Linked DNA regions of Pelodiscus sinensis. The protein of the gene in region 1 interacts with the protein of each later gene in a pairwise test. Links are inferred from orthologs where the notes say so. Each region holds a gene or a part of one and is shown on either strand. Other genes may lie near its edges.

Evidence for each region.
Region 2: the proteins of NKG2-A/NKG2-B type II integral membrane protein-like (region 1) and MAL interact in binary tests that used the Homo sapiens proteins (3 or more experiments, as listed by UniProt). The two-hybrid records come from large-scale screens. The link is inferred for Pelodiscus sinensis from reciprocal best matches to the Homo sapiens genes KLRC1 and MAL.
Region 3: the proteins of NKG2-A/NKG2-B type II integral membrane protein-like (region 1) and PMP22 interact in binary tests that used the Homo sapiens proteins (3 or more experiments, as listed by UniProt). The two-hybrid records come from large-scale screens. The link is inferred for Pelodiscus sinensis from reciprocal best matches to the Homo sapiens genes KLRC1 and PMP22.

Annotation. Positions count from the first base shown.
Region 1 is NC_134711.1:135,404,006-135,414,369, forward strand, and holds the start of NKG2-A/NKG2-B type II integral membrane protein-like, read left to right. Parts: upstream 1-6,013; 5' UTR 6,014-6,148; intron 6,149-10,364. UniProt on the Homo sapiens protein: Immune inhibitory receptor involved in self-nonself discrimination.
Region 2 is NC_134713.1:198,052,217-198,062,703, reverse strand, and holds the start of MAL (myelin and lymphocyte protein), read left to right. Parts: upstream 1-5,791; 5' UTR 5,792-5,977; coding exon 5,978-6,060; intron 6,061-8,089; coding exon 8,090-8,126; intron 8,127-10,487. UniProt on the Homo sapiens protein: May be involved in vesicular trafficking from the Golgi apparatus to the cell membrane. Plays a role in the maintenance of the myelin sheath, and in axon-glia and glia-glia interactions.
Region 3 is NC_134730.1:3,208,004-3,218,936, forward strand, and holds the start of PMP22 (peripheral myelin protein 22), read left to right. Parts: upstream 1-6,114; 5' UTR 6,115-6,350; intron 6,351-7,245; exon of another isoform or gene 7,246-7,404; intron 7,405-8,967; 5' UTR 8,968-8,990; coding exon 8,991-9,068; intron 9,069-9,886; coding exon 9,887-9,986; intron 9,987-10,933. UniProt on the Homo sapiens protein: Might be involved in growth regulation, and in myelinization in the peripheral nervous system.

The DNA.
Region 1 (10,364 bases):
TGGGGGGCATGGACTGCGTGAGACCCCAGGATGTGGTCCAGGGCCTCAAAGTGAGGGCAGGCCTCTGGGTTGGCCCCTGGTTGGGAGGCTCTGGAGCAGGCCTGCTGCAGGTCCTTAATTTTGCAGTGGACCTGCTCCTGGATCCGTATGTGGCCTCTGGCGGCCAGGCTGGCGGCCATGTGGCTGTAGAAGGCCGTGTTCCTGTGCCTAGTGAGGGTCGTGGACGTTGGAGGCCTCCCCCCAAACCTCAGTGAGGTCAACGATCTCCACACTAGACCAGATGGGCGCCCGCCTTTTGCAACTCTGTGCAGGGTCCTGGGAGCCGTCAGCCTGGTCCTGGGAAGAGGCGGAGGGCTGGGTGGCATCGGGTGGCTGGCTCATCTTGTGCCAGGTGCAGGGTCTGCTGGCTGGGTGCTGGCAGGCTTGCAACTGGCACGAGCACCGTAGCCAGCCCGTGCCCCTTTAAGGGTTCCTGTGCTGGGAGAGGGCAGAAGAGTCTCCCTGGTTTGGCCCAGAATGGGCTACACAGACCTTAATTCAAACTACTTAATTCGAACTAGGTGTTAGTCCTCATAGAATGAGGTTTACCTAGTTCGAATTAAGCACTCCACTAGTTTGAATTAAATTTTGAAATAGCGGTTTGCATGTATAGCCACTATTAAAGTTAATTCGAACTAATGGCTGTAGTATAGACATGCTTCGTGACATACCCTATGACTTGGTCAGAAGTCAGGCCAAGCAGTCTGTAAGGGTATGTCTACACTAGCCACTTCATTGCAGGAGGAGTAACAGTTAATCCAAACTAAGGACTTAGTTTGGATTAACTTCTGACTGCCACGTGTAGCTGCAGGCAGTCAGTTTGAACTAAGGAGATTTTAAAATGACGCCTGCCTGGGAACATGCAAATGAAGCCCGGGATATTTAAATCCCAGGCTTCATTTGCAAGTTCGAATGCCTACATTAACCACCCTAGTTCGAACTAGGGGTCTCGTGTAGACATACCCTGGGTCTCTTTAAAGAGGCAGGCTATTAAAAGAAATATTTGAAGTGAAAGGGGCTAACCACTCCTGTGCCAGATGTAGATGAATCCTATTTCTCTATTAAAACACATGGCTCAGAGCCCTTACATCTGCCAGTGGTTCTACTGCAGTCACAGATCACCAGGCCCAGGTACTTACCATTTCCTGGGCAGCACAGATCTATAGTAGACATGATCCTTCTGCAGATTTCAGGACAGAGCACACTGTACCTGGACACCTTTCACTAGAGGATCTCATGCTCAAAGGAACCCAGTATAAGAGGCTGCACATCTACTCTATCTTGGTCTTGGTTTGTTATAAATTAATCCTTCCAGTGGGTCTGAAATAAAAAATTAATACCTACAGATGTGTCTTGCTTCATCCTACAATGTGCCTTATTATGCACTACAATTACAGGGAGAAGTGTTTTTCTGACACTGCTTAGTGTGCTCACTGGGCACTTAGGACTTTATCAGCATGAGCCAAGGACATTTTCTGGCAAAGTGCTGCAGGCAGTGCACATTCCCAGCCCAGCTCTGTTCTGGTGCAACTAAATCAACACTTAAGCTTTGAAAACTCCTAAATGGCAAGAGCCCAGACCAGACCACCACATTCAGGGTATGTTTTTCTCTTATCAGCCCTGAAAGCAATGTAATGGTTTGGATAGTTATGTTGATAAACCTAGACACCAGGAAGGGCTGTTATTGGATTGGAGAAAGGCTTTCTGTGATTGAGGAGCCAGTAAGGGAAACTGAGGCCACAGCACCACCCTTGGCCTCTAGGGGAAACTTAGAAGGCAGCCCATCCTTCTACACTGCTTGGATTGGAGGGAAAACTGGTATCTCCAGCAACTCACAGTTCATGCACCAAGTTGTCTCAGCCCTTTCCTGGGTCTCATGTGTCCTCTCTCACCATGGAAGGAGAAGAGAACTCCATGGGAGCATGGCTGTCTCAGTCAAGTGGGCAGTGTAGCATGACCTCTCCTTTCAGCACAGTGCACTGTTGCCCCCAGGAGACCCCACTGGCCCACAAGGGAAATGCAGCCACTATTAAATCCTCCTTCTCTTTCATTACTTGACTTATGGAGAAAGCCTCATGTCCCATGCAGGCCTTGGACAACTTCCCCATTATTGGAATTTCTTTTGTGTAGCCTGAAAGGAGTGGACTAGGTCACATGACCTAGCAGGAGGGCCAAGCCACACATGGGTTGGAGAACAGCAAAACCAAAGTGGCTACCAACAGGAGTGCCAGGAAAGAAGAGACTCTGCCCTGCCCTGCCCTGCCCTGCCCTGCCCTGCCTGATTACTGGGTGATGCCTGCAGGGAGAAATGCCCTTCACAGCTTGCTGTGTCCATGGTCAGGTAGATTGGTTTGTACTTGTGGCATGATCCAAATCAGGCTGAGAGTGGGAGATTGGTTTTAGCTGTGGAGGAGCAATGACAGCTCCAGTTCTTTGGCAAGTGATAGAAATGTAGCCGTGTTAGTCTGGTGTAGCTGAAACGTAAGACAGGACTATATAGCACTTTAAAGACTAACAAGATGGTTTATTAGGTGATGAGCTTTCATGGCCAGACCCACTTCCTGAGGTCAAATCGTGGACAATTGACAATTTTTTGGCCCACGAAAACTTCTTTGGCAAGAGCAGTGATATAAGCTGTGCAGGAGAGTGCTTTGAAACATGGCACAACCCATGTGGGTGAGCTTGTGTGTCTGCAACTAGGGTGAAGTTCACTGTTCTTGAAAAGACTTGAAGGGAAGTGATGTAACAAAGAGCTCTGTCCCAACCTCTCCCCTGGAAGGACCACCCACTGACTGCCCTCTCAGACCTACTTTCAATCCCATCTTGCCAGACAGAAAGTATACATGCCCACAGCACCCTAAGTCCTCTCCCATCCAACGCCGCTCGACTGTTTTAGTCTCAGATATTCATTTTTCTTTTGATTAAGATTTTCTTTTCCCCAAAATATAATAGCTGTCAGATGGTATCCAGACAGACATAGCTACCACCAGGGCTGGCCCAAGCCCTTTTGGTGCCCTGGGCACACGGCACATGTGTGGGCCTGCCTGTGGGGTGCAGGCCCACCCCCTCAGGGTGTGCGGGCCCGTGCGCACAGCGCATGCGTGGGTCAGCCATGGCCAGGCCGTGCAGGGCCCCGTGGCCATGGGGGGAAGTGAGTTGCTGGCCAGTGCCACGGGGCCGGCACTACAGGAGCCAGGCGCGTGGCACCTGATGGCAGCTGTAAGGGATGCTGTGCGCCCCTTATAGCTGCCATCAGGTGCCCCCCATTGGTTGGCGCCCTGGGCAGCTGCCCGGCTCGCCCATGCCTCTGTCCAGTCCTGGTTACTACAATGGGGGATAACACAAAGGTCTAGTCCATACGGAAGGGGAAAGTCGACTTAAGATTCGCTACTCCAGCTACATTAATTACGTCGCTGGAGTGGAAGTATTTTACATCATATTTTGGCGCCATCCACACAGCGGGAGGTGGATGGGAGCACACGCTCCCTTTGACTTCCTTTGCTCCTCATAGGAGTAGGACTGCTGGTGCCAATGGGGGAGCCCTCTCAGTTCCAATTAGCACATCTTCACTAGACCCATTAATTCAATCCCTGGAAGATCAACTGCATAGTATAGCGTAGACAAACCCAAAGAGCATCCAGTATTGTGCCGCTACAGACTCATTTGCATTCTCCTCTCCAGACTGCTTCATAGACCAAAAGTCCAGCACTCACCCAATCATTGCAGTAGCTTTGTTACAAATGTTCCAGCATATGAATAAATAAGGCTGGTAATGTCTGAAGCCCTTTTTTCTGGAAAAGGGGAAAAGTTTTTGAGGAAGTAATGGAAAAGTCAGTTAGACAAACTGGGAACAGGCTGTCATGAGTGGGGCCTGTACAGTCTAATCTAGTAGTCAGAGCAGACGTCAGGAGTCAGACCAGATCATTCCAGGAAGTCAGAGTCTGATGCAAGCCAGAAAGTAAAACTGAGAGTCAGACAGGGTGAAGATTCCGGGAGTAGCCGAGTTAGTCTGTTACAGAAAAAAACAGCAAGCAAATGGTCTGGTAGCACTTTATAAACTAACAAAACATGTAGATGGGATCATGAGCTTTCGTGGGCACAGCCCACGAAGTTACTAAAGCAGCTTGAAAGGGAGGCTGCAGAACTGAATTTAATGTACAAGTCTGATCCCTGCAACAGAGGTCTCAACAAAGACCTTGCTTGGATGACATGCTACATTCCACATTCTAATGACATAAAAAGCCAAGACCAAGACCAAAGCCAAGGCCAAGACCTTAAATGTATTTAGTACCCTCTCTATCAGCTTCATTTAGCATGGACTCTCTAATTCACAATTTCCCCCCTTTTTTGCCTTCTTTTTCCTTCTCTTCCCCCTCAATTCCCTTTCTTACTCCATTATTTATTTGGAAACTGGACTTCTTGCTCCATTCATCTGAAGAAGTGGACTGAGCCCATGAAAGCTCATCATCAAGCTACAAGTCTTGTTAGTCTCTAAGGTGCTGCAGGACTATTTGTTGTTTTTAAAGTTTTTTCAGTTACAGACTATCATGGCTCCCCCCCCCCCCCCCCAGACTTTAGATCAGTATTAGGTAGGTACAAAAGGAAAAGTCCTGAGAAGGAAGAACCCAGTTGTTTGGGTTAAATAGAGATTACAGACCAAACAGGGCTCCCAGCATTCCACCAATCAGATCCCAGGACATGCGACTTCTGTCAAAGTTCAGCTGCTATTCGGGAAACTGGTGACTGGATGCTGTATGGTAAATCATGGGTGCCTAGTACCACCGAGTCCTGTAAACCAGGGTTTAAGCCCCCTGGTTTCAGACACAGGATCCAGAAAAGATGTAATGGAGAAATGCTTGGTTAGGGTTAGTGGTCTACTTAATTGCAGAGAAACACTTTTCAGGTCTTGGTCACCGCACAAACAGCAAATTTTGCATATGAGTAACATACCTGAAAAATTTGCTATTTATGACATCATCAAAGCACAAAAAATATGTGATTCCTCAAACTAATAGCTGGGCTCCAAAGGCACAAGTCTATATGGGGGTCCTGGTATTGGTGTGTGTTATTGCCATGTGGAGGTCATGGTATTGCTTCTGTGCTCTTGCTGGCGGCAATGCTGACAGCAGCTGGGGGCAGGAGGCAGCAGCTGATGCCCAGGCACCCAGCTCTGAAGCTGCAGAGAAATAAGGGTGGTACAGAACTGACTTCAGAACTGAGTAGCTGGAGACCAGATTTCACTATCCATGATGCCATTTTCACAGCTTCAAATGTGATAGACCCCTAGTTATGGTTCAGGCAAAGACTAGAGATAGAGTTTTTCTTATTTCAATTTCATCCTCTTGCAGATAATCCAAGTGGCTTGGCCATAGTCCACAGGTCCACGATAGGTGGAGCCCTGCAAACCTGTGGATATCTGCTTTATATCCATTGGTATCATTTCTGCAGATATTGATGTGGATACAATTTTGTATCTGAAACCCTGCAAGTTTGCAGATATCTACTTTATATTCACAGATCACTTTTGCAGATTCAGATGTGGGTGAGGATACCAATTTTGTATCCATGCAGGGTTCTGAAGATAAATCCAGGTCTCCACTAGGCTACACTTGCGTCCCTGATAATGCAAGTAGGAAACATGAGCAGGGATTTCAGGCTACACTCTGATCTCATTTATGGAAGTATAAATACGAAGTGAATATATTCACCTAAATGTGGGTTTACACCAGAGTAATTAAAAAAAAGATTCTTGCCCCACGTTTTAAGAAATGCAGAGATACTAGCTAATCATTGATTGCTTAGACAACACTACATTTAATATTTAAGTGTCCTGAAGAAGATTAATTTAATAGGTAAACCTACAAAGAGAGAAGTTCCTGTGAGCGCTTAGTGAGGGGGCATCACATTTCAAACTAGCAGAGTGGAAACTTCCTGTGCAACTTTCAGATGGAGCATTGCAGAGCGTACAATTCTTCTCCTCCTGGTTCCTGTTGTCCATCTCTTTGAAAGCAGTGACGGGGTGAAACCAGATTGTCTCTCTCAGAAATATTTGTGGCGCACCTAAGTCTAGTTCCTGCACTCCAGTTTCCTATCAAAGAGAGCTCCAAAGGTATGAGAAGAACATTTTGTTGGGGTGATGGGGATCTTCATTGTTAGAGCATGTAGTTGTTGAAAGAGGTATAGTTTATTACTTTGGTATACTTCAAGGAATGAATGGAATTAGTCTGAAACAGACATGTGTTTGCAAATATTGTCTGTTTACAATATTTTTCTTCTCACTTAAATTTAAGAGTGACAGTATGGAATAGAGAACCATTTCCTTACTGGTATTGGTATTAAGTGACTGTGAAAGGATTTATTATTGCAGGCAAATCAGCATTTAAATTCTAAATTTCTGTATTTTATGCATCTCTGGTGCAGTGTATCTACTATATCCTTGAGGGAGTTTGCCTGTGAGCAAGCAAGCAAGTCTGTCTGTTTGGCTGTGTGTTCAAGAACTCCTTCTAAACAATTAAGAGCTAGGACCACCAACTTTGGTAGGCAGCTTCCTCTTACCCTAACTTAAAACAAGGTCAGTTTGGTTGTGCCAGGACATTGGGGTGTGCCTGGAATGCAATTGTTTTTCATACCATAAAAAGGGAGGGGATTGCTAGCAGGAACACTTATACTCTGTAATGATCACAAGAAGGCAGCAAGGGGCCAGAGATGGAGATGGGGACAGCTATAACTTCATCAGGACAGCAGAGGTCAGGGGTGGAGATAAGCTTCCCACTCAACCCCCAGCCAGTGTGGCCCTCACTGCAGCCAGCCCCATGGAGCTGCCACCCAGACAACATGGCCCTCACTGGCTCCTGAACTGGCTCCTCAGTCCCCTGCCTTGAGCCCTTCCTCATTCCCCAATGGTGACTGCAGCACCCACACATCCTCCAAACTCATGCCCTGAGCTCCTCCTCAAATCCCAAACCTGACTCCTACACCCCCTATACACACACCCAGCTCCCTGCCCTGAAGGACCCAATCAACACCAGAGAAATCTTCCAGTAGGACAACCTAGAAAAACAGTATAAGCTGAGGAAAACCAGAGATATATCTTGATTTTTTGTAAGGAATTTGATAGTGTTTCCCAAGAAATCTTACTTGGCAAATTAATTCAGATAATCTTGAATGTGAACATTATAAATGAATAAAACATTGTTTGAAATATTGTGAACCAAAGACAATGCTAAGTAAAAATGGACTGAGATTAATGGTAAGATCTTTATTATTTATCATCTTCAGAACTATATTGGAAACTGAATTATATAGCCTTCTAATGTAATCAAAATTAATGATTTTAAATGGAGGGGTGTTGCAAACACAAGATCAGACAGATAACACAGACCTACTTGGAAAGTTTAGCAAAGTGAGCACAAAATAATGTTAAAACTGTTACAGCAGATGTAGTAATCCAATACATGGCTATCCAGTGATAGGGAGAAATGAAACCAGTAATGATGAAAGTAACCTAGGAGTTAGAGTGGATAGCAGATCAGACATTTTGCAAAAAACTAGCTAACAGTTTAAGCATTGGAAGGTGCTCTGATTATAGGTCTGTGTCTCTATGGCCCCGATGAGTGTGGTATTCTTAGTGCATTTTCAATTTAGTGCACTGCCATTCTGAGTCATTATTTGAAGCTTTTATTATTTACTAGCATTACCCATCCCGTTGTGACAGTAGACGTACACTCAGGTTGGCCTGGCGCAGGGGGGCAAAAGCAGACCTAGCTGCCATTTTGCCCATAAAGGACCCATTGCTGCCATGGCCGTGTCCTCGCTGCTCTGCCCCCACCTCGCACTGCCCATGCACACCGTGCACTCACACCCACTGGAGAGCACCGGGTGCAGCTGGAGTTGGTTATCCAGGTGCCAGCGGGCTGTATCCTGACCAGCCTGCTGGCTCACAGCACTCCTGGCAAGGCGCGGCCTCCATTCCACGCTCAGCCCATGGGCTGCTAACTTAGCTGAACCAGTCTGAGGGGGAGGAGGGAGGATTTCAGGGTCACAGCAAGGGGAGGCATTTCGGGGCCAGGTTTGCAAGCATGGGGCATGGCGCAGTACTGAGGGGTTGACTCAGGTATTTAATGGGCTGCTGGGGGGAGTGGAGTGCCTAGGCTCACACCAGGAGGGGGCTGGATTCTGGCAGTTGCTTGGGTGACGGGACCTCTCAGACCCCACTTCAGTGTGAGTCCCCCCACGCCTGCTGACCATACAGCAGAGCAACCTCGCCCAAGTCCCGGCGCACTCAAGGTGGGCAAGAGGGACTGGGCAGTGACACAGGAGTGGCGCGCAGGTTGCACTGCCCGGGAGGGGTGTGCGCCATTACTCGGCAGTGGCTGGTTGGTCTCTGGCAACTCGGTGGGAAAGTTAAAGGCGCACAAAGTGCCTGAGCTGCACCTTCCTCCTCCCCCTCCCAATGCATGGCATCTTGTGACATGTCAGAGGCAGGGGAGTCTCGTGGGAAGTCTGTTCTCTGTGACAGAGGTCATGACGGATGCCTCTCCTTTTATAGCAGTACAGATTTGTTGAATGCCTACTGTGTAGCTGGCTGAACAGAACACAGGGACATGGGTCAAGATGTTCAAAAAAAGGGTACTAAAGGTAGCCTCCTAAATTCATAGTAGGCCTCTAAAAAGTAAATTCATGCTTAAACATACTGAGCACCTGTTGGTTCCCTCCAAGTCTATGGCTGCTATCGGGAGCTCAGCACTTCTCAAAACTAGGATACGTAAATAGGCACCTCCACACAGAATAGGAAGCCTAATTTTTATCCCTCATGTATGAACATTTTTGCCATGGACCCTGTCCCATAGATTTAGATAAATAAGGCTGCATCTAGATTGGCATGATTTTGCGCAAAAGTGACTGCCTGTCTACACTGGCCACGAGTATTTGCGCAAGAACACTGCCTTTGTAATGTACAAAATTAGTGGTTCTTGCACAAATATTCCGATGCTTCTGCTCAAGGATAAGCCCCCTTGCGCAATATACTTGTGCAAGAGGCCAGTGTAGAAAGCCACGTTAATTTCTGGCGCAAGAAAGCCTGATGGTTAAAATGGCCATTGGAGCTTTCTTGTGCAAGAGAGCGTCTACACCGGCACGGATGCTTTTGCACAAAAGCACATCTTTTCCATTAAAAGTATTTGCGCAAAATCATGCCAGTCTAGACACAGCCTAAGTGTTTAAAAAATAAAACAGAAAGTAGTGGGCAGATGGAAGGCATTCAGAAGATGCATTTTACTAAAGGGCCTGGAGGGACTAGCTTCTAAAGAAAGACTGAAAAACTGTGTGTGCAATGAACTTTGTTCAAGCCATGACTAAAAGGCGATACACAATTACTGCCTAGAAATACTGACAATGTGTCTGCACCTAGAAGCCAAATGGACTGTTCAGGGTGGTGTGAAATTGAAGAAATAGATGTAAAGCAAGAGTTCAGACAAAAGAATTTCCCAAGGTAGATGGTGGAAATCCCTTGACATGCAAGATTAGAAATGAGCCTGGATAAAGCCATGCAGAGAACCCTACAAGATGCTTAAGAGAGTAAGCTCCAGGCTGAGTACAGTGCAGGGCTGCTGTATCCACCATGCATGAGGTGGGGAGAGGGCCCTGTTTCACCAGCTAGGGAAGGGAAGCAATCTCCAGACCCAAGTTGCTTTTCATACCCTGCTTTGTTCTATATCACTATGGGAACAAACAACGCTAAGAAAAAAATCTCACCTGAAAATACTAGTCACAAGTCCTGGGGGCTTCCCTGCTTTGACCAGCCAGGGGGAAAGAGGAAACCTTTCCTTCCTGACTATCTGCACGCTGCTTCCTGAACTCCCTGGCATGTGAGAGGCAGGGATCCTTTCCCCATTCCAGACTACTGCTGTGTCCTTGTCACAGACTCCCAAAGGATGCATTATGCCAGATGTACCCAGAGCTGTCACGGAGCAGAATGCAGTCCCAGGGCTCTGCCTGTCTGGACTCAAGGAGCATTGTGCAATCAAGGGGAAGAGCAGGTGGAGGAGGTGCACATCTCAAATGGCCATTCTTGGAGCACTGATGCCTACTGGGGATCAACCAGTTAAGTAGTAGTTCTGCAGAAAAGGACCTGGGGGTTACAGTGGATGAGAAGCTGGATATGAGTCAACAGTGTGCCCTTGTAGCCAAGAAGGCTAATGGCATATTAGGTTGCATTAAGAGGTGCATTGTCAGCAGATCCAGAGATGTCATTATTCCCCTTTATTCGGTTTTGGTGAGGCCACATCTGGAGAATTGTGTCCAGTTCTGGGCCCCCCACTACAAAA
Region 2 (10,487 bases), on another chromosome or scaffold:
GTGTAGGGAGTGTCCTGCCCCCCCCCCCCCCCGTCAGGCTCTGGTGTGTGGGGAGTGTCCTGCCCCCCCCCCCCGCCAGGCTCTGGCCCAGTAAAGGTTCCCCACCCCCGTGGTAAGGGCTCCATTCAGTGGCCCCTGCCCGCTCCTGCTTCAAGGTGCCCATTCAAAGGGCCTGCAGGGACCCTGCCTCACAGAGGCATGTGGGCTGCATTCCCGGGGGGGGGGGGGGGGGGGGAGGAGTCCTGCCCCACCCACCCTTCAGAGCTTGGCTGAGTCACTGTCCTGAGGCAGCTCCGGGGCCCATGACCCTTCCTGGCCGCTCACGTCAGGCACCTGAGCGCCCTGCCCCCTGCGCCTCTGCCCCCGGCAGCCCCCGGCACCCCCGGCAGCCCCTCGCGCTGGAGAACGGGGTCGAGGGTGCCCGGGTCGCTGGAACGGAGAGTCCCAGCGCGTAAGGGCAGCAGGCGTCAGCAGATCACGGGGCTGACCTACAGCCCCCCCCCCCGGGAGTCCCTGCCCTGCCCCAGGGGAGCTGGGAGGCTGCTCTTACCTGCCAGCTCTTGATTTAAATGCGCCCGGGCCACCGCTGCCCGTGGCGACCTGTCGCGTTGGCGGGTCGCGCTCAGCGCTCTGGCCACGGGCCCCCTCGCTCAGGGGACGCGGGTTCCTCCTTTCCAGGGCAGGCTTGTCCCCGCCGTGTTCCCAGTGCTACCAAGCCACGGCGGCTGGCTGGGGGAGCGCCCGAGGCTTTGGCAGCTGCAGGAGGTGCTGGGTGCTAAGGGGGCCCCTGGAAATCTCCCAATTCTCACGGAGCAGCTGTGGATGCAGTTGTGGAGCAGCGGCAGGGCTCAGGTCACAAGCCAGGGCCAGGCCCGCGGGGGGTGTAAATCAGCTCAGTTCCACTGATGTCAATAGGGTGGGTGACACTGCTCTCCCCCAGCAGAGTACCTGGGCCCCGTCCCTTGAGTTATCCCTGGAACATTTCATTCCAGCCCCCTCTGGGCCAGCAGGTCTCCACCACTAACCCTGCCTGGCCCAGGAGATCTAAGGCTAGATCCAAAGCTACAGGAAAGTTAAAATCTAACATTCCTCTCCCGCCCCCTCCCCAGGCTTGCAAACACAACGGGCAAGTCTGTCAAATGAGCTGGCCACACCTATGTTAGCTCCTTCCCTCTAGGCAGGTCGATCAGTTACGAATTCACCTGTCTCAGAGGTGGAGGCTGCATCTGAAAGCCACGTCTGCTCCCAGCTGCGGTGGGTCAGCTGAAAGACCAAGATGTCATCCGCAGCCGCTTCAGTGTCCTTGCCTAGTGGCTTCTCTGTCCTGGCCACGTTTCCTGATTTCCTCTTTATCCCAGAATTCGTAAGTTTGGGCTTTTTTATTTCCTTGAATTGTAGAAGCAGCATGACCGTTAGGGTGGTGCCCAGAGACCTGGGTTTGTGGATCTCGGAGTAGTCTCAGGGGGAAGCCAAGTGCTGGGGTGGCAGAGAGAAGTTGGTAAAACAGGTAAACTGAGCCTGTTGGCTGTGAGGGCGATTTCCTGCTGAGACGTCTCTCCCTAGGACAAGTTTTCCTAGGGGGCCAGGCAGAGGCTGAGCTGCTGGCCACAAATCTAACTCGGCTGCAAACGGCAGGGGCCTGTTTCAATGAGTGGAGCTTGGCTGTACAGAACGTGGACGGCTGTAAAAGCTTAGCCTGTCCAATAAAGGGCTGGTATGACTCCAGCTCACACAGCGTACCCCAGGTCCATCGACGGACATGCTCTTCAATGGAAGAGTCATCTTCAATGTGTGAGAGTGGGCTGGCGACCCTGCTCCTCTTGGACGGTGGCAGCTGTCCAGCAGTCTCTGATGTCTGAAGAGTCATTTGAGACCGTGGGGTTACAGATGGTACCGAATGAACAGGCACAAGGAGAAAGAATTAGGCTGATTATATAACCGGAATATTACAGTGGGAGAAAACGGTAAGAAGTCTCCAGGCATTTAACAACAATTAATTAAAGATGTAAGTGAGGCTGCCTGAAAATTTTCCATCTAACCTGTTTTTTAACAGGAAAGTGGAACTTGGACTAAATGAAAACTTGTGAGGAGTATTTGTTTTCCTTTAAACATTTAGGGTTTTGTATTAAAACACAGACAACCCCCCAAATCAATAATTCAGATAAAAATTGTAAAATGACTTGTTTTGGGACCAAAACTTTTCAGTTTTACAGAGAAACGCTAACACTTTCCACAAGGGAGAAAAAGAAAATTCTGACCCCCCTCTTGGTGTGACAGGCAAACCAGAGTTCACAGGGTGAAAGGCTGCTGGCCCAGGGCCAGCGTTTCACCTGAACAGCTTAGGGATTTATTCACGGTCTCCCAGGGCAGAGTAGTGATATAAATGCAGCCGTGTTAGTCTGGTCCAGCTGAAACAAAAGACAATTCTCTTCCACATATTGATCTGAGGAAGTGGGTCTGGCCCACGAAAGCTCATCACCTAATAGTAATCTTGTTAGTCTTCAAAGTGCTGCGTAGTCCTGTCTTTTGTTCACAGGGCAGAGGCTCCTTTGTCTCCCGACTCGCCGCTGCCCCCTGCTCTGTGCAGTTTGCAAACAGCAGGAAGCCGGGGCTGATAAAGCCCTTGTCTGAGAAATGTCACTGGACAAGTACAACTGGCTGTGCACCACTGGTCAGCCTGTAAATGGTGCTTTCTGACCAACGACAGCTCAGCATCAGTAGGTCATGCAGGGCTGATCCTGCCCAGGAGTTAGGCTTGGTCTGCACTTTGGGCATGGCTAGACTGGGGGTCCCAACAAAACTCCGCCACGTCCAGGGGCGCGTTTGCTCTTCCGCTGTTTTTTAGCCGTAGAGCAGACTGGCTCTTTCGGAAGCCCCTGTACGCCCCGTTCCACGAGGAAGAAGGGGGCTTTCGAAAGGGGGGGGGGGGTCCTGAAATATTGCCCTGTCTAGACGGGCCAAATTTCAGAAAAGCCTCTTCCGACAAAAGTATCGGAAAAAGGCACGAAAATGCAGAGGGCAACGTGCGCATCTTTTCCCGCTAGACCCTCGCAGTCCAGCCGCACCCTGGCAGCTTGACGCGCAGCTGCAGCAATGCTGCCGGGGCGGCGCTGTCAAGTGAGAGGCATGGCAGGGACGGCGGGAGAGAGAGCTCCCAGCGCTCCGTGGAGACCACCCCGATGAGAGCGGCTCCCAGTGCTGGAGCCTGGTTCCCACAGCGCCATGAACTGCAGGGCCGGGGAGGTGTTTTTTCACACCCCTGGCTCCATGGGCGGCGGGAGAACGCTCAGCTGGGGAAGGCAAGCGCCAGCCCCACCCCCACCCTCTCTGCCCAAGGCCCCACCCGGAGCCAAACCCTGCCCACCCCCCAGCCCGATCCTTCCTGGCCGTGGGGCGAGCTGGGGCGCTGAGCCGGGCAGCCACCACGGCCCCCGACCCCGCTGGCAGCAGCCCCTGCCTGGGCGGTCGGGCGGGCTGGGGAGGCCGCGGCGCCCTGGCCCACGTTGCCGACTGCCCGTCCCTGGCCCAGACGGTCACAAGGCTCCAGTATGTCTGGTTCCAGGGTCTCAGGGCCTGGGAAAGGCTGGGGCCTCCGGCGAGTCCTTCCAGCTCCTTCACCCCTCAGGAGTGGGAGGGCTCAGCACCTCGCAGGCCTGGGTCCAATAGCACAAGAGCAAGCAGCCCTCGTGTTGCTCAGACCTGTGGCAGGGTTGGGGGGCCCTTTCTACAGCCCCCCCATCCAGCAGCTTCTGCAAGGCCCAAATAGACCCCTTTGCGTCCCCAGTGGCTTAGCACAACCTCCCACCCCTCAGCAGCCGCCCCGGGAACCGCGTCCCCGCCCCTCGGCAGCCGCCCCGAGAACCGCGTCCCCGCCCCTCGGCAGCCGCCCCAGGAACCGGGTCCCCACTCCTCGGCATCCGACCCCCGGGAACCGCGTCCCTGCCCCTCAGCATCCGACCCCTGGGAACCGGGTCCCCACTCCTCGGCATCCGACCCCCGGGAACCAGGTCCCCGCCCCTCGGCAGCCGCCCCAGGAACCGGGTCCCCGCCCCTCGGCATCCGACCCCCGGGAACCGGGTCCCCGCCCCTCGGCATCCGACCCCCGGGGAACCGCGTCCCCGCCCCTCGGCATCCGACCCCCGGGAACCGGGTCCCCGCCCCTCGGCATCTGACCCCCGGGAACCGGGTCCCCGCTCCTCGGCAGCCGCCCCAGGAACCGGGTCCCCGCCCCTCGGCATCTGACCCCCGGGAACCGCGTCCCCGCCCCTCGGCAGCCGACCCCCGGGAACCGGGTCCCCGCCCCTCGGCATCCACCCCCCGGGAACCGGGTCCCCGCCCCTCGGCATCTGACCCCCGGGAACCGGGTCCCCGCTCCTCGGCATCCAACCCCCGGGAACCGCGTCCCCGCCCCTCGGCAGCTGCCCCACAGGCAGAGGCAAGTCCCGCCCAGCGCCCCGGGGGAGCCGCGAGACAGCGAATGGGTTGGGGGGGGGCAGGCGGCTGCAGAGGACGCACAGGGGCTGGGTTCTCCCTCTGCCGTGACAGGAACCCGCCAAAAATCTCTGAGGGGGGTGGACAGTCCAGGTGTCCTTCGCTGCAGCGTGCAGGCCCCTTTCAGGCCGTGCAGCCTTCCCTCGGGCAGCCGCCATGGGGGAGACCAGGCAGCCCGTGGCCTCGCAGACTGGGACTCCATTTGGTACCCGGCCAGCTGCCACGTGGCTCCGTGCAAACAGCTCTGACCGGCTCCAGTCCTCGCTCCAGCACGTGTGAGAACGGGGGGGGGGGGCCCGAGGGCAAGAGGGGCCCGCCCCGAGCCAGGGCGTGGCCAGGCAGCCGGTGTCTGGGGGGTGCTGCTCAGCAGGACACGGGGCCCGAGCCGTAGCTGCTGTAGGTCAGGGTCACTCAGGTTTGCTTCCCCACCCTGGGGCCTGGGCCTGGGGAGAGGAAGAGGAAAATGGCGGGGAAGGGCCGTGTGTGCAGCGTCTGACGGGCTGATCCCCAAACCATCGCAAGGCGAGAACAGGGGTCACGTCTGTGCTGAAAGGCTCTGGCCAGAGGGACCTGGACAGTTTAGAGGATTGGGCAAAAGGAATCTGATGAGGTTCAATAAGGACAAGTGCAGAGTCCTGCCCTTGGGACAGAAGAATCCCAAGCATTGGTACAGGCTGGGGACCGACTGGCTAAGCAGCAGTTCTGCAGAAAAGGCCCTGGGGGTTACAGTGGATGAGAAGCTGGAGATGAGTCAACAGGGGGCCCTTGTAGCCAAGAAGGCTAATGGCATATTAGGGGGCATTAGGAGGGGCATTGCCAGCAGATCCAGAGATGTCATTATTCCCCTTTATTCGGCTCTGGTGAGGCCGCATCTGGAGTATTGTGTCCAGTTCTGGGCCCCCCACCATAGAAAGGATGTGGACGCATTGGAGAGGGTCCAGCAGAGGCGACCACAATGATTCGGGGCTGGAGCACATGACCTATGAGGAGGGACTGAGGGATTTGGGTCTGTTTAGTCTGCAGACGAGAAGAGTGAGGGGGGATTTGAGAGCAGCCTGCAACTCCCTGAAGGGAAGTTCCAAAGAGGCTGGCGAGAGGCTGTTCTCAGTGGTGGCAGAACAAGGAGCAATGGGCTCAAGTTGCAGTGGGGGAGGTCTAGGTTGGCTATTAGGAAAAGTTATTTCCCTAGGAGGGTGGGGAAGCGCTGGGCTGGGTTCCTGGGGAGGGGGTGGAATCTCTGTCCCTAGAGGTGTTTGATTTGGCTTGACAGGTCCCTGGCTGGGCTGACTGAGTCGGGTTGGTCCTGCTTTGGGCGGGGGCTGGACTGGCTGACTCCTAAGGGCTCTGCCCGCCCTGGGCTCTAGGATTCTGTGTGCCGTGTGGTGAAAGCTTCGGCTGGAAAGGGATCCGCTCGGTGAGCGTGAGCAAGTGTTCGAGCTGGACCCGGTCGGGTGTGTCACGTTCGGAAACGCTACCGCGAAGGGGAATGTTCCAGGGAGCGTTTGCAGGGCGCCTCTTGGCTCTCGCGCCCCCCAGCGCTAGTGGAGCCTGTTCACGGCCGGCCGTGCGGTGAGGAGCGCGCAGCTGGGGCGCTTGGGATGAGGGTGGAGAATGAACCAGCCTGTAACAAATCCTCAGCAGGAACTGGAGCAGAGGGGGGTAAACACTGTCGGGCCCGGGCTGGGGGGAACATGGGCTCCCGGTGGGATCTCTGAGATTACACTGAGCAGGAGCAGAAGCAGGCAGGAGCGCACTGGCAATCAAAACAGGCCCGGGAAATGGCTGAGAACGGCCCTCCCCATGACGTCACCCCTGCGCGCCCCTCAAGCCCCACCCCTGTGTCAGGTCCGGCACGCGGCGCAGGCGGCGGGTTGGGCACCGGCGGGTGGACACGACGGCCCAGCAGGAAATTGCCGGTATCCCGCCAGGCCAGCCCACCCCTGGAAGAGGGCAGGCAGGGATCCAAGAGGCGGGCCAAGCGCCGAGCCCCCCGTATGCCTGGGCCCCAGCTCGGCCGTCTGGCCCACGCTCCCTTCACCCCGGCGCCTGCGCCTGCCCACAAGCCCCAGGTTTCTCTGGCGTCTTTTCCCAGCTGTGCTGGTCTCCCAGCTCCTCGCCTCACGCCCCCTCCTGGCGCCAGCAGAAATGCCCCAGAGCATCCGCCCCGAGGCCAGGGCCCTGCTGGGAGCCGGCTGCTCTAGTCTGGGAGCGGGGGCTCCTGCCCCATGCTGTCCCCATAGCCCCCCAGCGCTCTGGGAGGGTGGGTCAGAGCCCTCCCCCTCGTGTCCGCTCTGCACGGGCCCTTGTCCCCACGGGCGCCCGACCGAGTCTCCCGGGCGTCCGCGAAGCCAGGGTGTGGCTCATTGCCCCGCCCGCTGAGGGGGCTCTAGGGAGGGTGGAACCCCCCGGCCCCGGTGCCCCTCGCTGGTCAGGCCCTGCCCTGGGCCGGAATCCAGGCCCCATAATAGTGCCAGGCCCCGGGCCTCCCTTCCCCCAGCCATTCCCCGAGCCAGAGGGAAAGGCGGCTCCTCCCAGGCAGGGTGGGGAAGGCCGCTGCTTGCCCAGGGCTGTCCCTGCCCCAGGGGCATCGCTACTGAACGGAGCTTGGAAGAGTCGCTGGGCAGCTCCAGCCCTGCGCTCCTGAGCCGGGGAGTTAACGCCCGGCTGCGGCGGGTCCCTGCCTGGGGAACGGATTCCCTCGCAGCTGGGACCCAAGCCCTCCCCTGCCTTCCGCCTCCACGAGCCGCCCCTGCTGGGAGGCCGACCCGGGCGCGGCTCCTTTTGACGCACCCCGGCCTCCGCCCTGCTCAAGGGCAGCACTCGGGGCGGGCGGCCTCGCAGGTTCCCCCGGGGCGGCCGGTCTCCTGTGATCACCGCTCGCGATTGCCCCGCTGTGCACTGAGCAGCCTAATCCTGTCCTGGAACCAGCCCGAACTCGCTCCCGGCGGTTCCGCCTCGGCCCTGCCCCGCGCTCGCTTCCCTGTCGCTGGGACTCAGCAGCACACGGGCGGCCCCGGCGCACAAACATGCAGCACGCGGGGAGCAGCAGGAAGGGGAGGGTTAGCCACACTCCCGGTTTGCAGGGCCCCCAGAGCTTCGTTGTGCTCGACGAGGCAGGGCAGGCTTGTGGGTGGCCAGCGCGTCCTGCTCCTAGGCCTGCTTGGCTGCAAGGCATTCTCAGGCCAACGGCCCGATAATTGTAGATACCAATTGTCTGGAAAACGCCTGTGGCCGTTTTATCGCTCCCCGCTGTGTGCTTAGGGGGAGTCACATACCGGCAACAACAGCTGATTAACCGATAAAGCGTTACCCAGCCCAGTGTGAAGCTGAAACTGCCTCCCCGGGCTGATAAAGCAGCCACATTTATCAGGGAAAACATTGACATTCGGTGCATTTATGCAACTCTTATTGTGGCAAAAGGGCCCGAGGCCTGATAACATGCTCATGCCATCGGGTCTTGCAGGGGGAACGCGCATGGATCGTGGTGACCGGGGATTTAATGACGGTTTGAGGCTTTGGATTTTGTATCATTCCCACAGCTATTTACTGCTGAGGCATTTGTTCCCTCTTTTAATAATTTAAATCTTCACGATTGTAGGAAGCGGTGGGGGCCAGACAATGGGAATGGGCGCCAGGTAATTATTTAACGCCGGGAGATGTCGACATAATAACCGTTAAAGCTTTATAACCATTGACCACGATTCGGCAGGCTCCCATGTCTACGGTAAATCTCCCAAAGGACTTTACTCGAAATAAGCAACGAGCCACGTCAATTGCGGAGCTTATTTCAAAATTGGGAGCGTCCACTCAGCCCTTCTTGCGACACAGAGCACGCTTCCTCCCACTTCCCCTCCTCCTCCAACAGTGAGGATACGTCTACACTGCGCATTGTTGGGCAATAACATATGCAAATGAGGTGCGGGGATGAATATCGCTGTGCCTCATTTGCATACCTAATGAGCTGCCATTTTTGCGGCACAGACGTTGGCCCAAGAAGGAGCTGCCTACACTGCTCCTTGCGCAAGAAACCCCCTTGAGCAGCCCCACAAGAGGGTCCGTCCTGGCAGCCTCAGTGCCCTGCCAAGCGGAGCTTCCTGGCGCTTTCTGGAGCTAGCTGAGCAGTTTTATTTCACCTTGGTGCTGGCTGCCCTGAGCGGCCGCTTCCTGCGTGACCCCGGAGTCGCTGGCGTTGTTCTTTTGCTGGGGCCCTAAAGAAACAGGTTTCCTGTGGTGCAGCTACAGAAACGCCCCCAGGCTGCCAGGGAACCACCCGAGCGCGCCGAGAGGGAGCCCGAGTTACATGCCTGCCTGGTTTGAAAGCGTCTTCATCAGCCCGTGCAAACTCAAGGGCCAGATTCCTCAGGGTTTGCTGAGTCCCGACTGTCAATTTCATCTCCCGGCCCCGAGCCTGGCGCTGGCCGTTCTGTTTAACTAGCCACAGCCTGGGCTCCTGTGCGGCCCCAAGGGGAGCCCTGCTGGGACGCTCGGCTGCTTCCCCTCCTAGGTGCCTGGCTCAGTTCTGATGCGTGTGCCCGATGGGCGGTGTGGCCAGCGTGGTGAAGCTGCATGCAGCAGCAGGCTGCCCTGTGTGGGCAGAAAACATCAGCAACGCCCTCCCGGCTGCAGGGCATCACGCTGGGCTCGGGCTCAGTCTCTGCCAGCGTCGACCCCGGCCCGCCCCAGCACCGCCCTCTGCCGCACCGGCCAGACCCCGCGGCCACCGCCCTTCCCGCAGCCGGCTCTCCCGGCACCGCCCTCTGCCGCACCGGCCAGACCCCGCGGCCACCGCCCTTCCCGCAGCCGGCTCTCCCGGCACCGCCCGCTGCCACACCGGCCAGACCCCGCGGCCACCGCCCTTCCCGCAGCCGGCTCTCCCGGCACCGCCCTCTGCAGCACCGGCCAGACCCCGCGGCCACCGCCCTTCCCGCAGCCGGCTCTCCCGGCGCCGCCCTCTGCCGCACCGGCCAGACCCCGCGGCCACCGCCCTTCCCGCAGCCGGCTCTCCCGGCACCGCCCGCTGCCGCACCGCCCAGACCCCGCGGCCACCGCCCTTCCCGCAGCCGGCTCTCCCGGCACCGCCCTCTGCCGCACCGGCCAGACCCCGCGGCCACCGCCCTTCCCGCAGCCGGCTCTCCCGGCACCGCCCTCTGCCGCACCGGCCAGACCCCGCGTTGGCCTAGTTCAGTCAGGCTCAGAGCGGGTGTGGGGGGGGGAGGCGAGCCAGGCGCTTAGCAGCAGGCGGGAGGTGAGTGCGGCTTGATTTGTGGCCCAGAATTGTGCCTGCCTGGGAGGAGCCGAATTACCCGGCGAGCCCCGGGCCCATGGCCAGCGGCTGCGAATGGGCTGGGCGCTGCCAGAACAGCTGCCGGGAGGGTTGACAATCGTCCCAGCGGCTTTGGGGGAAGAGCAGGGCCCCGGGCCCGTTCTGCCCCAGACTTGACAGACAGTTGGAGGGGCGCCCGCCAGGCTGCGCCGCCCTTTGCTCCAGGCCCAGAGCATGGCCTCGCCCGGGGGCTCGTGGGATTCAGCGCAGCCAGCTGCGAATGGCGGCGATGGGGAGGCAACGTGTGTGGCAGGCGCTCCAGAGCTGTGCGTGGGCCATGCTGGATGCGTGTGCACTGCAGTTAGACACCCGCGGCTGGCACATGCCCATGCCCATGACTTGGGCTCAGGCTACGGGCAGTTGGGTTGCAGTGACGTGCCGCTGTAGCCCTGCTGGTCCGGACGAGCGCTCACCCCACCGGACACTGGCCCAATGAGGGGAGCGCTCCCCCACCGGCAGTCTGACCAACAGGCTCAGGCAGGAGCCAGGGATTTGCCTGCACCCTGGGGTCACAGAACTCAGGATTCAGACAGCTCCATTGCAATTACAGAGTCCCTGGGCTCAAGCCCAAGGCAGCGGGTACGGGCCGGCTCCGGGTGTCCAAGTGCAGTGTAGACAGCCTGTAGGCACACGGGTACGGGCTGGCTCCGGGTGTCCAAGTGCAGTGTAGACA
Region 3 (10,933 bases), on another chromosome or scaffold:
TGCCACTACCATGCTTCTCTGCATGGAGCCGGGGGCGAAGTCCTGTCCCCACCGAACTGCAGGGCGATTTTGCCAGTGACGTCAGTGGAATCAGCATTTCCCCGCACCGCGTTGCACCTGTCGCCTGTGTACCACCCTGCAGCCTCCACTTTACTTTAGAGACCCCTTACTGAAAGGATCAGTAGCTCTCCCAAGGCCGGGGCTCCCAGCTTTCTACATGCCCACCCTGCCCCCAGGATTCCCCTCCCAGCCCCTTCCATCTAGGGCAGTAATTTTCACCGGGAAGTACTTAATGAATTTTGGTACATAGTCATAGGCTGGCTCCACCCCCAGAAGGGGCGGAGCCTGAGACGGAAGGGGCGGGGCTGGGGACTAGCCTCCCCCCAGAGTTGTGCGGGGCCAGAGACTTTGAATTAAAACACAACAAAGGGCCCACGGCTCCTGGCCCTGCCACTACTGCTTTGCCTGGCAGCTACCGGGGGTTGCTGCAGCTATTCAAAGGGCTTGCAGAGCGCTGTGACCAGGAGCCGGGAGCCATTTAAATAGGATCCTGCTGCCTGAGCCACTGCCTGGAAATTCAATGGCACGGGCAGCAGGATAGCAACAGAAAGCGGCCAGATGCCGTCTGTGGGCCAGATCAAAGTGTTAGGTGGGCCGGATCTGGCCCCCAGGGCCAGCTTGAGTTAGGGCCTTGCTCCTATGTAGGGATGGGGAGAAGGGAGGCTTCTGACATCTGTTCTCAACCTCAGCTGGCATCATGACCCAAGGCTGAGAACCCACGTACTAATCAGTCAAATCAGTCACGTTCACTTACACCAGCTCTTGCTACTGTCGCTATTTGTGCATCTCTAAGGTGCCACGGGACCACTTGTCATTTTCAAATATACCTCTATGGTTTGTTCTGTGCATGGAATTATGAATGTGCTGGTGATCCACCTATAGGTATCCTATACAAATTGTGACGTAGTGGGGGTACCTGGCTGGTTTCTATGCTGCTGGCTCTGGGGTAACCCCCACTGGCTGCCGTGGGTACCACGACCCAGCAAAACAGGATGAGTCACTATGCAAACCAGTGGCCAGACACCCCCCATGGAGAGGAACAAAGGAAGGTGGATGCTGCCCTGGCTGGGGGGCAGGGCTGGAAGAGAGTTAGTTAGTTGCTGTCTGAGAGCATGGAGGAGACAGCCTAGGGAAAGGGGCTGGAGTTTAGGGGTCCAGTCTCCCCCATCTCAAGGGGGCCTGAGGCATCCTAGCCCAGCTCTGTGACCAGATTCCATCTGTGCTGTGCTGTATCCTGGAGAGGCAATAAACTTCCTCTATTCCACCGGCTGGTGCGGTCTGTTTGTGCCATTTCGGGGTGCAGGAGACGGGGGATCCCCAACGTGCCGTCACACAAATACAGGCTGACCTCGCTATAAGTCCAAGATATGTTCCAAAAACCTTGGACCTATAGCAAAACAACTTAAAACGGGGAAGTATTTTCCCGCGGCTGACTTCCATGTAAGCAAATTGGGGGGAGCGTTTTGCACAACTTATAGTGGGGAACAGGAGGACTTATAATGTGTCAGTTCCTACAAACGTCAACGACTTTAGTGTGGAATGGATGTATACCGGGGTGACTTATAGTGGGGACGCCCTGTAAACAGTGATACATATATACCTGTCGTTAATGGAGAAGAGAGAAAGGTTGGCCCTACGCCCTACCTCTGTCTCTCTCTGCGTCTGTACCCCATTGCCCCAAGCCGCACGAATCCCACGCTTGCTGATCTCAGCTTCGATTGCTGCCCCTTTCCCTCCACAGACACATTCCAAACCTCCTGCTGTTTGGGGGCTTTAAGCAGCAGGATCTGAATTGGAACGGCTCCCAGAGATCCTGCTGACAGGGCCGGGCCTGGGGGGGAAGAGGCGCATCTGTGCAGAGACGTACAGTGAAAGTCCCGTCTTCTCAAGCAGGTGTGACTAGCTTGTAAACAGGATGGTCAAATTCATGGCCGGTGTTGGGGGCACCCGGGGAATAGTCTGCCCTGTACACACGTTAGATTGATAAAGGGATGGTGTGGGAGGTCTGATTGCATTGGAAAGCGAGGTCGCATACACATCGCCCCGATGCTGCCTCGTGGTCACAAACACACACACGTGTGTGCACCACGGATCCACACGCACAGCCTGCAGTCTGTCCTCTCCCCGGCACGTTACCTTGGTCCCATTCGAACAGACCGGCCTGCAGCCATGACCCCATGCAGCTGTCGTGGAAAGGGTCGGGAGGACGTCATGAGCGTGTCCTGCGTGCATGATGTACTGCAGAAGCAAAACGAGACTGCAAGGAGTTGCCGTTCCATATTGCAACAGGGCGTCCTGCTCCTTGAAGGGCTGCAACCCGGGGACAGCCTACCCAGGTTATTAAACAGGCCCTCCTGGACAGGGAATTTGCAGGGAGCTGGAAGGTCTCTGCGTGTTGCTGGGAACTGAAGGCTGCAGGGATTTTGAGGCACCAGAGAAAACAGGTAGGGCAGGAAGCAGCTGGCTAAGGGATGTTAGGGACGTTGAGTTTTGTTCTGACCATTTACCCAGACCTGAAGGAGGGCTGTTTGTACCCAGAGACACCTGTGTGGAGGGGAAATGTAGGCAGCGGGCTGTACTGTCACCCCTATCCATGGGGGGGGCCCTAGGGAGGTGATTGACATCTCTTGGGTGCCAAGCCTCATGCCAGCTGTCTAGACTGGTATCTATAGAGCCACCATTTGTGCCCATTTTAGAAGCATTCCCCTTGCTGCCTAGGTTCCCGGGTTTCCTGACAGGCATTTATCACGCACGTTCTGTTTGCAGAAGGCATAAAGAATAGCCCTCCTAGAAGCATGTTCACATGATTGAAATATTTGGAAGCAGCTTGGTATCACGTCCCCAGAGCTAAAAGGGAAGTCACATGCTCAGTAAATACTCCCAAAGCCCTGGTCTGTTTGGCTAAAGTGCAGTTCTAAAAAGAGACAAACGTCTGCCGGAAGAATGTTTGTGGAACGGGCCCTTTGCTGTGCATATCGTCTCCATTTCCTTCTCCCTGGCTCACGCCCAGTGAAAGCTTCCTCACCCTGCGGCTGCTCTTCTCTTCCGTTTGAATATTTCTCCCTGGCTGACAACGCTAGATTTGGCCCCATTCTCGGACGCATGGGAACAAAAGGGTTTCTTCTCTCCCGTTTCCACAGGGGAGAGTTCTGCTCACACAATCAACTCATCTGGGGGCTTTTATGGCCTGTACCATGGAATGAATTGAGCCCTTTCTGATTTTAGCTGCATTTTATCCTTACGGAACCCGGGCAAGATACAGGGCAAGATACAGAGGCATCTCGATTTTACAGCCAAAGAACTGAGGCCGAGGTGAGACAGGAGCTGCATTCAGATCTCTCCTACTCCACCCACTAGACCAACCTCAGAGGTTAGACGAGATAGTAAACTATTTGGGGCAGAGGCTACCTTTTGGTTCTGTTGGTGCTGGGCCTCACATGGTGGGCCTGACCATGGATGGGACTAAGATAATCATATTTATGGATGGGTGCTTTTGGCTTTAAAACTCGCTCATCATCCTGCCTCTACTCAAGAGGAGGCTCCCAGTAGGAGGCTGTAGTAAGAACATAAGAACGGTCGTACTGGGTCAGACCAAAAATCCATCTAGCCCAGTGTCCTGTCTTCTGACAGTGGCCAATGCCATATACTCCAGAGGGAGTGAACAGAGCAAGGAATCATCATGTGATCCCTCCCCTGTCACCCATTTCCAGCCTCTGACAAAGAGGGGAAAGGGACACCAAGAATTTATCTGGTTCTTTTTTGAACCCTGTTAAAGTCCTGGTCTTCACAACATCCTCTGGCAAGGAGTTCCACAGGTTGACTGTGTGCTGCATGAAGAAAAACTTCCTCTTGTTTATTTCAAACCTGCTACCTATACATTTCATTTGGTGACCCCTAGCTCTTATGTTATTGCCTTGTTCCCATAACTTTTCCTTATACACTTTCTCCACACCTGTCATGATTTTAATAAATCTCTATCATATCCCTCCTTAGTCTCCTCTTTTCTAAACTGAAAAGTCCCAGGTTTTTTAATCTCTCTTCATATGGCACCCGTTCCAAACCCCTAATCATTTTTGTTGCCCTTCTCTGAACATTTTCCAATGCCAATATACCTTTTTTGAGATGAAGTGATCACATCTGAACACAGTATTCAATATGTGGGAGTACCATGGATTTATACAAAGATAACAAGATATTTCTGTCTTATTCTCTATCCCTTTTTTAATGAGTCCTAACATTCTGCTTGCTTTTTTCACTGCCGCTGCACACTGCATGGATGTTTTCAGAGAACTAGCCACCATGACTCCAAGATCTCTCTCTTGAATGGTAACAGCTAATTTAGTCCCCATCATTGTATATGTAGAGTTGGGATGATTTTTTCTAAAGTGCATTACTTTGCATTTATCAACATTAAAACTCATTTGCCATTTTGTTGCCCAATCACCCAGTTTTGTGAGATCCTTTTGAAGTCCTTCACGGGCTGCTTTGGTCCTAAGAATCCAAACGCCTTTGCTCACCAGCGGATTTTACTCTCAGATCCCTCCTTGACTTGGGTTGTGGGCCTAACAATTGCTGTGTACTCATTAGGGCTCTTCTCACGGAGTGTGGAGCCTGATCGTCCACACTGCCACTGTTAGCCCTGTGGCCCGAGTCTCTTGAGACACAATCAGATAACCCAAGCTGGCCACAGCTTTTCGACAGCAGAGTACGCAGAACATCAGCGACCCAGGCATCCTTGAAAGCTGCCCCCTCGAACACCCACCTGGATAACAGGAATTTCTGTGCTTTCTGCTTCTTTCTGTACATCGGTTACTCTACATGATTCTGACTTGAAGGAAGGAGGTGTGTTGTGTAGCCAAGAGACTGCCCAGCTTTTGAAATAGATGGGCTGCCTTTGCCTACCAGGAATGAGCCCTGTTAGACTGCAGAGGCCTGAAATTTGGTTTGATGAAGCACTTGAATGGAAGGGAGTGGGTGGAGAGAAAATTGTTCCCTCTTGTTAAAAGTACATCAGGGATAGATAGATAGATAGATAGATAGATAGATAGATAGATAGATAGATAGATAGATAGATAGATAGATAGAGTGGTGTATAGGGATAGATAGATAGATAGATAGATAGATAGATAGATAGATAGATAGAGTGGTGTATAGGGATAGATAGATAGATAGATAGATAGATAGATAGATAGATAGATAGATAGATAGATAGATCGTGCAGGGATAGATAGACGGATAGATAGATGGATAGATAGAGTGTATAAGGATGAATGGATGGATGGGTGGGTGGGTGTGCATGGGGATGGATGGCTAGACAGACAACAGGGAAGGAATATTATGTTTGCTAGGGGGCACCTTGTGTTCTCTGTTACCCCCATGAAATTCTGCACAAACTCCACAGACTTCCGTGGACTGAGCCTACTTTACAGCAGTGTGGCTGAGATGGAAATCAGTCTCTTGGGCCTGCCTCTGGACCGCTTAGTCACTTCACGACCCTCCTCATGCCTCAGGTAGCCCTGCAGAAAGGAACGGGGTGACTGGGGGCTTGGCTGGGTCCATGGAGGAGGGTGGCTGTAAAAGAGGCAGGGTGCGGACCCTGGTTGTAAGTGGAGGACAGGCCCAGGTGACTTCCCCACACCTTGTGTGTGCACACTTGCTGCAGAACCAGCACCGGGCCACTTTTAAACCACATTATTTTATTTTATTTTATTTTATTTTAGGAGTGAAAATAAGCAACTGTCTAAAAAACACACACAACAGCAAAGCAGCATCAGCTTCCGGCAGCGGGGAGACCGGGGTACTGGCCCCTTCTTAAGCAAACCAAACCCCTCAGGCCTGGCAACGTGCAGCCCGGTGGCTTGACTGACAGCTCCCAGAAGGGGAGCGCTGGTTATTGTTCTAGCTTCCCGGGCCTTGCATGCCGAGGTCTCTGCCCCTCCTTCCAGTTACTCTTCGGACCCCCCTAAATAGCTCGGGCGCGCGAGCTGCGCTCCGGGGAGGAGACAGAGCGCGGAGCTGTCTCTTTAAATGCTAGAGGCTGTGCGCTCTCAGGCCACCGTGACAGATCTGGGCGTTGGGCTGGGGGATGAATAAACAGTGAATGCACCAGATCGCTGGTTTCAGAGAAGGGCTCCGATCCGCCAGGATCCCCCTGTAGCTCGCCCCGCGCCACGGGTGGCCTTTAGCGTCCTCGCTGCCTGGCATCCCGCCCCTGGAGGGACTTTAATGCACGTTGCGCTGGTTTCCTAGGAGCTGCCGGTGCCAGGAAGGGCTGCCCGCTTTGGAGTGCGGTAAGTGTTTGGCCGGGCAAGCCGAGAGCCGGGCGCTTTCTCCTGCCGGGCGCGGACTCCTCTCCAGCGCGCCGCGCCGCCGGGAGACGCGTTTACACGGAGAGAAGCCCGCGGCGAACTCGAGCGGGCGCTCCGAAAGCCAGGCTCGCTCGGCAGCTGCGCGGGGCGCAGGGGGAGCCCGCGGCAGCTAAAGCGAAGTTTGGTGCGTTTCCACGGGGCTGGTGCGTCTCCCGCAGTAGCTTGTGATGCGCCGGGGCGCACTGAGGAGGCGGAGGAGGGCGAGTGGGTCCGTTTCCCGGAGGGTTAGGAAGAGCAAGGGGGCAGCCGAGAGGGGCGACGCCAGAAATCCCGGGTGTGCTGCCCCTCACCTTCCCCCCCCCCCCCGCTCAGCCCCGGGGCCGCGCTGCGCCCTGCGGGGCTCCAGAGCGCACGGCCCGGGGGGTGGCCACCCAGGCTACCGGGGGAAGGGATGACTCTGCTGGAGGAAGGTGGAAGCAGCCCCCCCCCACGGGGTTTCAGGCCGGTGACACGGGTACCCCTGCAGCTCCCCCCCCCCCCCCGGGCTCCAGTCCCCGCCCCTCCCCCAGGGCTGCAGCCGCCGCTCCTCTCCCCAGGCACAAATAGCAGGGGCTGGGCAGCAAAACGCGGAGCGGATCCGGGGGGGGGGGTCTCTGCTCCTCGACCGGGGATCCCCGACCCCACCCTGCCAGCGCCCCCAGGCAGGGACGCGCCGCTTCCCCGTAGTACTGGGCTCCAGTCGCCTCTTCCCACGTGGGCTGAGACCGGGGGTGCCGGGCGCGGTGGGATCCAACGAACCAGTGAGCGGGGGGTGGGGTATTTATAGCCGCCACCCCCCCCCCGCCAGGCCCGGGACACACCCTGCGGCCAGACGCAATCTGGGGCGTTGTCCCGCGTTAAAGGGGAAACTTTATAACTTGGCGCTGGCCGGCGCCTCCCTCTCTCCAGCCCCTGGCTCTGTGCGTCTGGGACACGGGGACCGGCGCCCGCTCCGGATTAGCCGCTTTGCTCGCGGGGGGGTGACTGCGGGAGCGAAGTAAGTAGCCGCCGCGCCGCCCTGCAGCGGGCTGTTTGCCCGCGGAGGACGAGAAGGGAGCGGGGGCCAGAGGAGGCGATCCCAGACGTGGAGCCGGGTCTTGGTCCCCACCTGCCAGGGGCTGCTTGCCCGGTGGCGTCTAGCTACAACTCCCCCCCGCCGGGCTTGGTCGCGGGTCCCTCTGCCGCAGCGGGGCCCGCTTGCTGCCCCCCCCCCCCCCCGGTTCTTTACAGCCGGGTCGCTCCCCTATACGGATTCCGCGGCCCTGACCTCACCGCGGTATAATTAGACACAGTGTGAACCCGCCAGGAACCTTAGCTTGGGCCCTCCCCGCCGCGCTCCGCTCCGGCTCCTGAAGCGCGCCCTGGCCGGTTTCCACGGGCTGCGCGGACTCCGCTTCGCTTCTCCCTGCCCGGCTAATGGCGAGGAGCCGACCGTGCAGCTGCGGGGCCGAGCCCCAGTGCGGGCGGCCGAGCGGATAACGGTTCCCGGCGCCCGCCCCCTCCGGTGGGGGCTGTTGGATGTTGAGCTTTGCCTTTGTTTGCCCGGAGAGCCGGGCTTTCGGGCGGCTTTGACGCCGCTTCCCAAGAGCCAGCCCCGCCCTTGGATCCCTGGCTCAGCCTGTCTGGGAAGGGCCAAGTGGAAATGTTGAGGCATTTAACAGAAGTTGCCCTTTTTCCATCTGACTCCGGATCATGACACGGCCAGCGCGGAAGGTTAGCAGGGCGGCGGCTAGCGCAGAAGCGGAAGATTCCTTGATCCTCAGATCGTATTCCCAGCCCCTCTCTGGGCGCCGCACAGGACCCCCACGCCCAGCTAGATGGACTGCCCTTTTCCAAGCCAGCTAATGTTTACCCCCTCCCCCCCAAAAGCTGGCGGTGCCTTTTTCAGGCATTTGTCTCTCGAGCCCCTCGCTGGATTCCTGCAGGACCCCCGCCCCTCCCAATAGCTGCATGAGTTTGCCAAAAGAGATGTTGCAGCGGCGAAGAAATGCCCTTCCTCCACATTTTTCGCGGGAGGGGGACCTGTGAGTCTGAAACAAACCTTTAAAAAAACAACAAATAGTCCTGCAGGACCTTGGCGATTAACAAAACGTGTCCATGGCATCCTGAGCTTTCGTGGGCATTAAAGTGGGGTGTGCCCAGGAAAACGCATGATGCCATCAGCATGGTTTGTCAGTCTCTAAGGTGCTGCAGGGCTGTTTTAATACAAATTGGGACGTTTCCTTCACTAGAGCCCCTTTGAAACAAAACACAGGACGATGTAGCACTTTAAAGACTAACAAGATGGTGTATTAGATGATGAGCTTTCGTTGGCCGGCTCATCACCTAATAAACCATCTTGTTAGTCCTGTGTTTTGTTTCAGCTACACCAGCCTAACAGGGCTGCATTTCTATCACTAGAGCCCCCTTGGTTATTCCTGGTTGGTTCAGCGCCCCCTGCTGCCCTTTCAGAGCTAACTCCCCCGAAAGCCGGACACACCCTGCAGACACAAATGCAGAGGCGGGACTGCCCTGGGTTTTGCTGCTGCTTCAAAGCTGTCTCCTCTCCCCCTCGCTTCAGATCGTTCCAAGACTTCAGCCAAAATGCTGCTCTTGTTGCTGGGGATCATTGTGCTCCATGTGGCGGTTTTGGTGCTGCTGTTTGTCTCGACCATCGTGAGCGTAAGTACAAACTTGATCCCCTCTCGCTCTTCTCCCTCCTGTCGCTCGTCCCACGGGTGTCTCCAGGACACATGGGGTGGCCAAAAGGACGTTTATCACCTTTCAAGTGAAGGGTTCAGCCTGGTGGTCTCTAGAGCAGTCGTTCTCTCTGCATTCGGGGTCTCCGCACACTTTGTGCACCAAATCACTGCTCTGCTTTGCACTCCTCCAGGGCCAGACCTTAATACAAGGCCCCCTCAAAGAATGAATGTGACCAACCTAGGCTGACCCCTATTTTAATATTTTACAGTGCAGGAGATCTGCTGAGCTAGTCAATTCCAGACTAGTTTTCCAAGGGTTAAAAAAAAACCACATTAAAATAATCACAGGATCCCAGATCTGGTTGTGATGCCTATGAAGCCATTAGTGTAGCTTTCCACACCGCTGGAGACAAGTGACTTTTTTTGGAGCTTTGGCCCATTTAAAGAGAATAACCAAAGTCTCCTCTTTATGCAGTTGAGTACAATGTGAAACATTTCCCTTCGAATCTCAGTTCAAATAAAGGTGTGTGTGTAAATGTTCATGCTTGTGCATGCTCTGAGAGAGATACCCGAGACACAAATAACCGCCGGAACCGTAAGAATTCAAAAGAATGAACACACACAAAGTCAAAAGAGTTCACAACAAGAATGAACATGCGCAGCTCTGTAGGATTCCTCACCAGCGCATGTGGTGGAGCACAAGTTTGTGTTTTGCTTTGGGGACGGCGCCCGGCCTCCCCCTGGCCTTCGCTGCTGTGACTTGCCGGCGCCTCTTACCAGTTTGTGTGTCTTTTTCAGCAATGGTTCATCGCTAACGGGCGTACGGCAGACCTCTGGCAGAACTGCAGCACTCTAGGTGTCTCGAGTTCCTTTCAGTGTATACCATCCTCCACGAACGGTGAGTGCCCTGACGTCTCGTCTGGTTCCTCAGAAAGGGGGAGTTCGCCCCGTTAACGCCTCCCCCAAACCTTTAGCGACGGCCACGTATTGCAGAGAAATCTCTGCAGCCTCTGTCTGGTACAAGTCCAGCCTTCTCCACTGAAGGGTTTGGTTCTGTCCTTCAGGTGAGGGGCTCAGTTACTATAGTTGCTCCAGGAGGTTGATGGTACAGTTTCTGGAGTACAGGCCCTGGGGAGGAGCGGAAGAATCAGGCCTGAAGTGAAGATGCAGAGGGAGGGCGAGGAATGTAGCTCGTTTAATGCACTTTTCTTCACGGGTCTTCTGGACTGCTCCTTATCTTTATCTGAAGGGCACACCTCCCCCGCTTGGCTGGGCCTCTGTCCGTCCAGCACCTCGCTGCAGGCTAGAAAGCCAGGGCTTGGTGCACGGAGGCCCAGCACCTTGTGCACTGATGGGGAAGGCGGCATGAGCTGCCGTACGATGGAGGATCAGGCCCACGGGGCCAGATCCTGGGACCATCTGTGCACATGTGAGTTCTCAGATGCCTGTGACCTCAGTGTGAACCCAGAGCAGAGCTCTTGAGGTCTGGGGAGGTACTTTAGCCTTACGTGGCTGTAATGGAGCAGATTTTGGGCCGCTGAACTACTAGCGGAGGAGGAGCCCTTGGTCCGGTCCTGTTGCCTGCCTTGCCTACATCTGGTCTGTGGTATATGGACAGTGGTCTCACCTGCAGCGGGACTGACCCCATGTGACCTCTTTGGCATGTGCTCCTTGCAGTTCTTACTAGGCGGTACCTAGATCCCCAAACATGGGCAGCCCTTGGGGTAGGGCTCTTTCCTGCTCCCCCACGGGTGTGGTAGCTCCTCTAGGCATGCTTCTTGTTTGCTCAACGGGGGAGGGTGTTAAAGGGCCAGAGCAGATTTGCTCCATGAAGAACATCTGCTG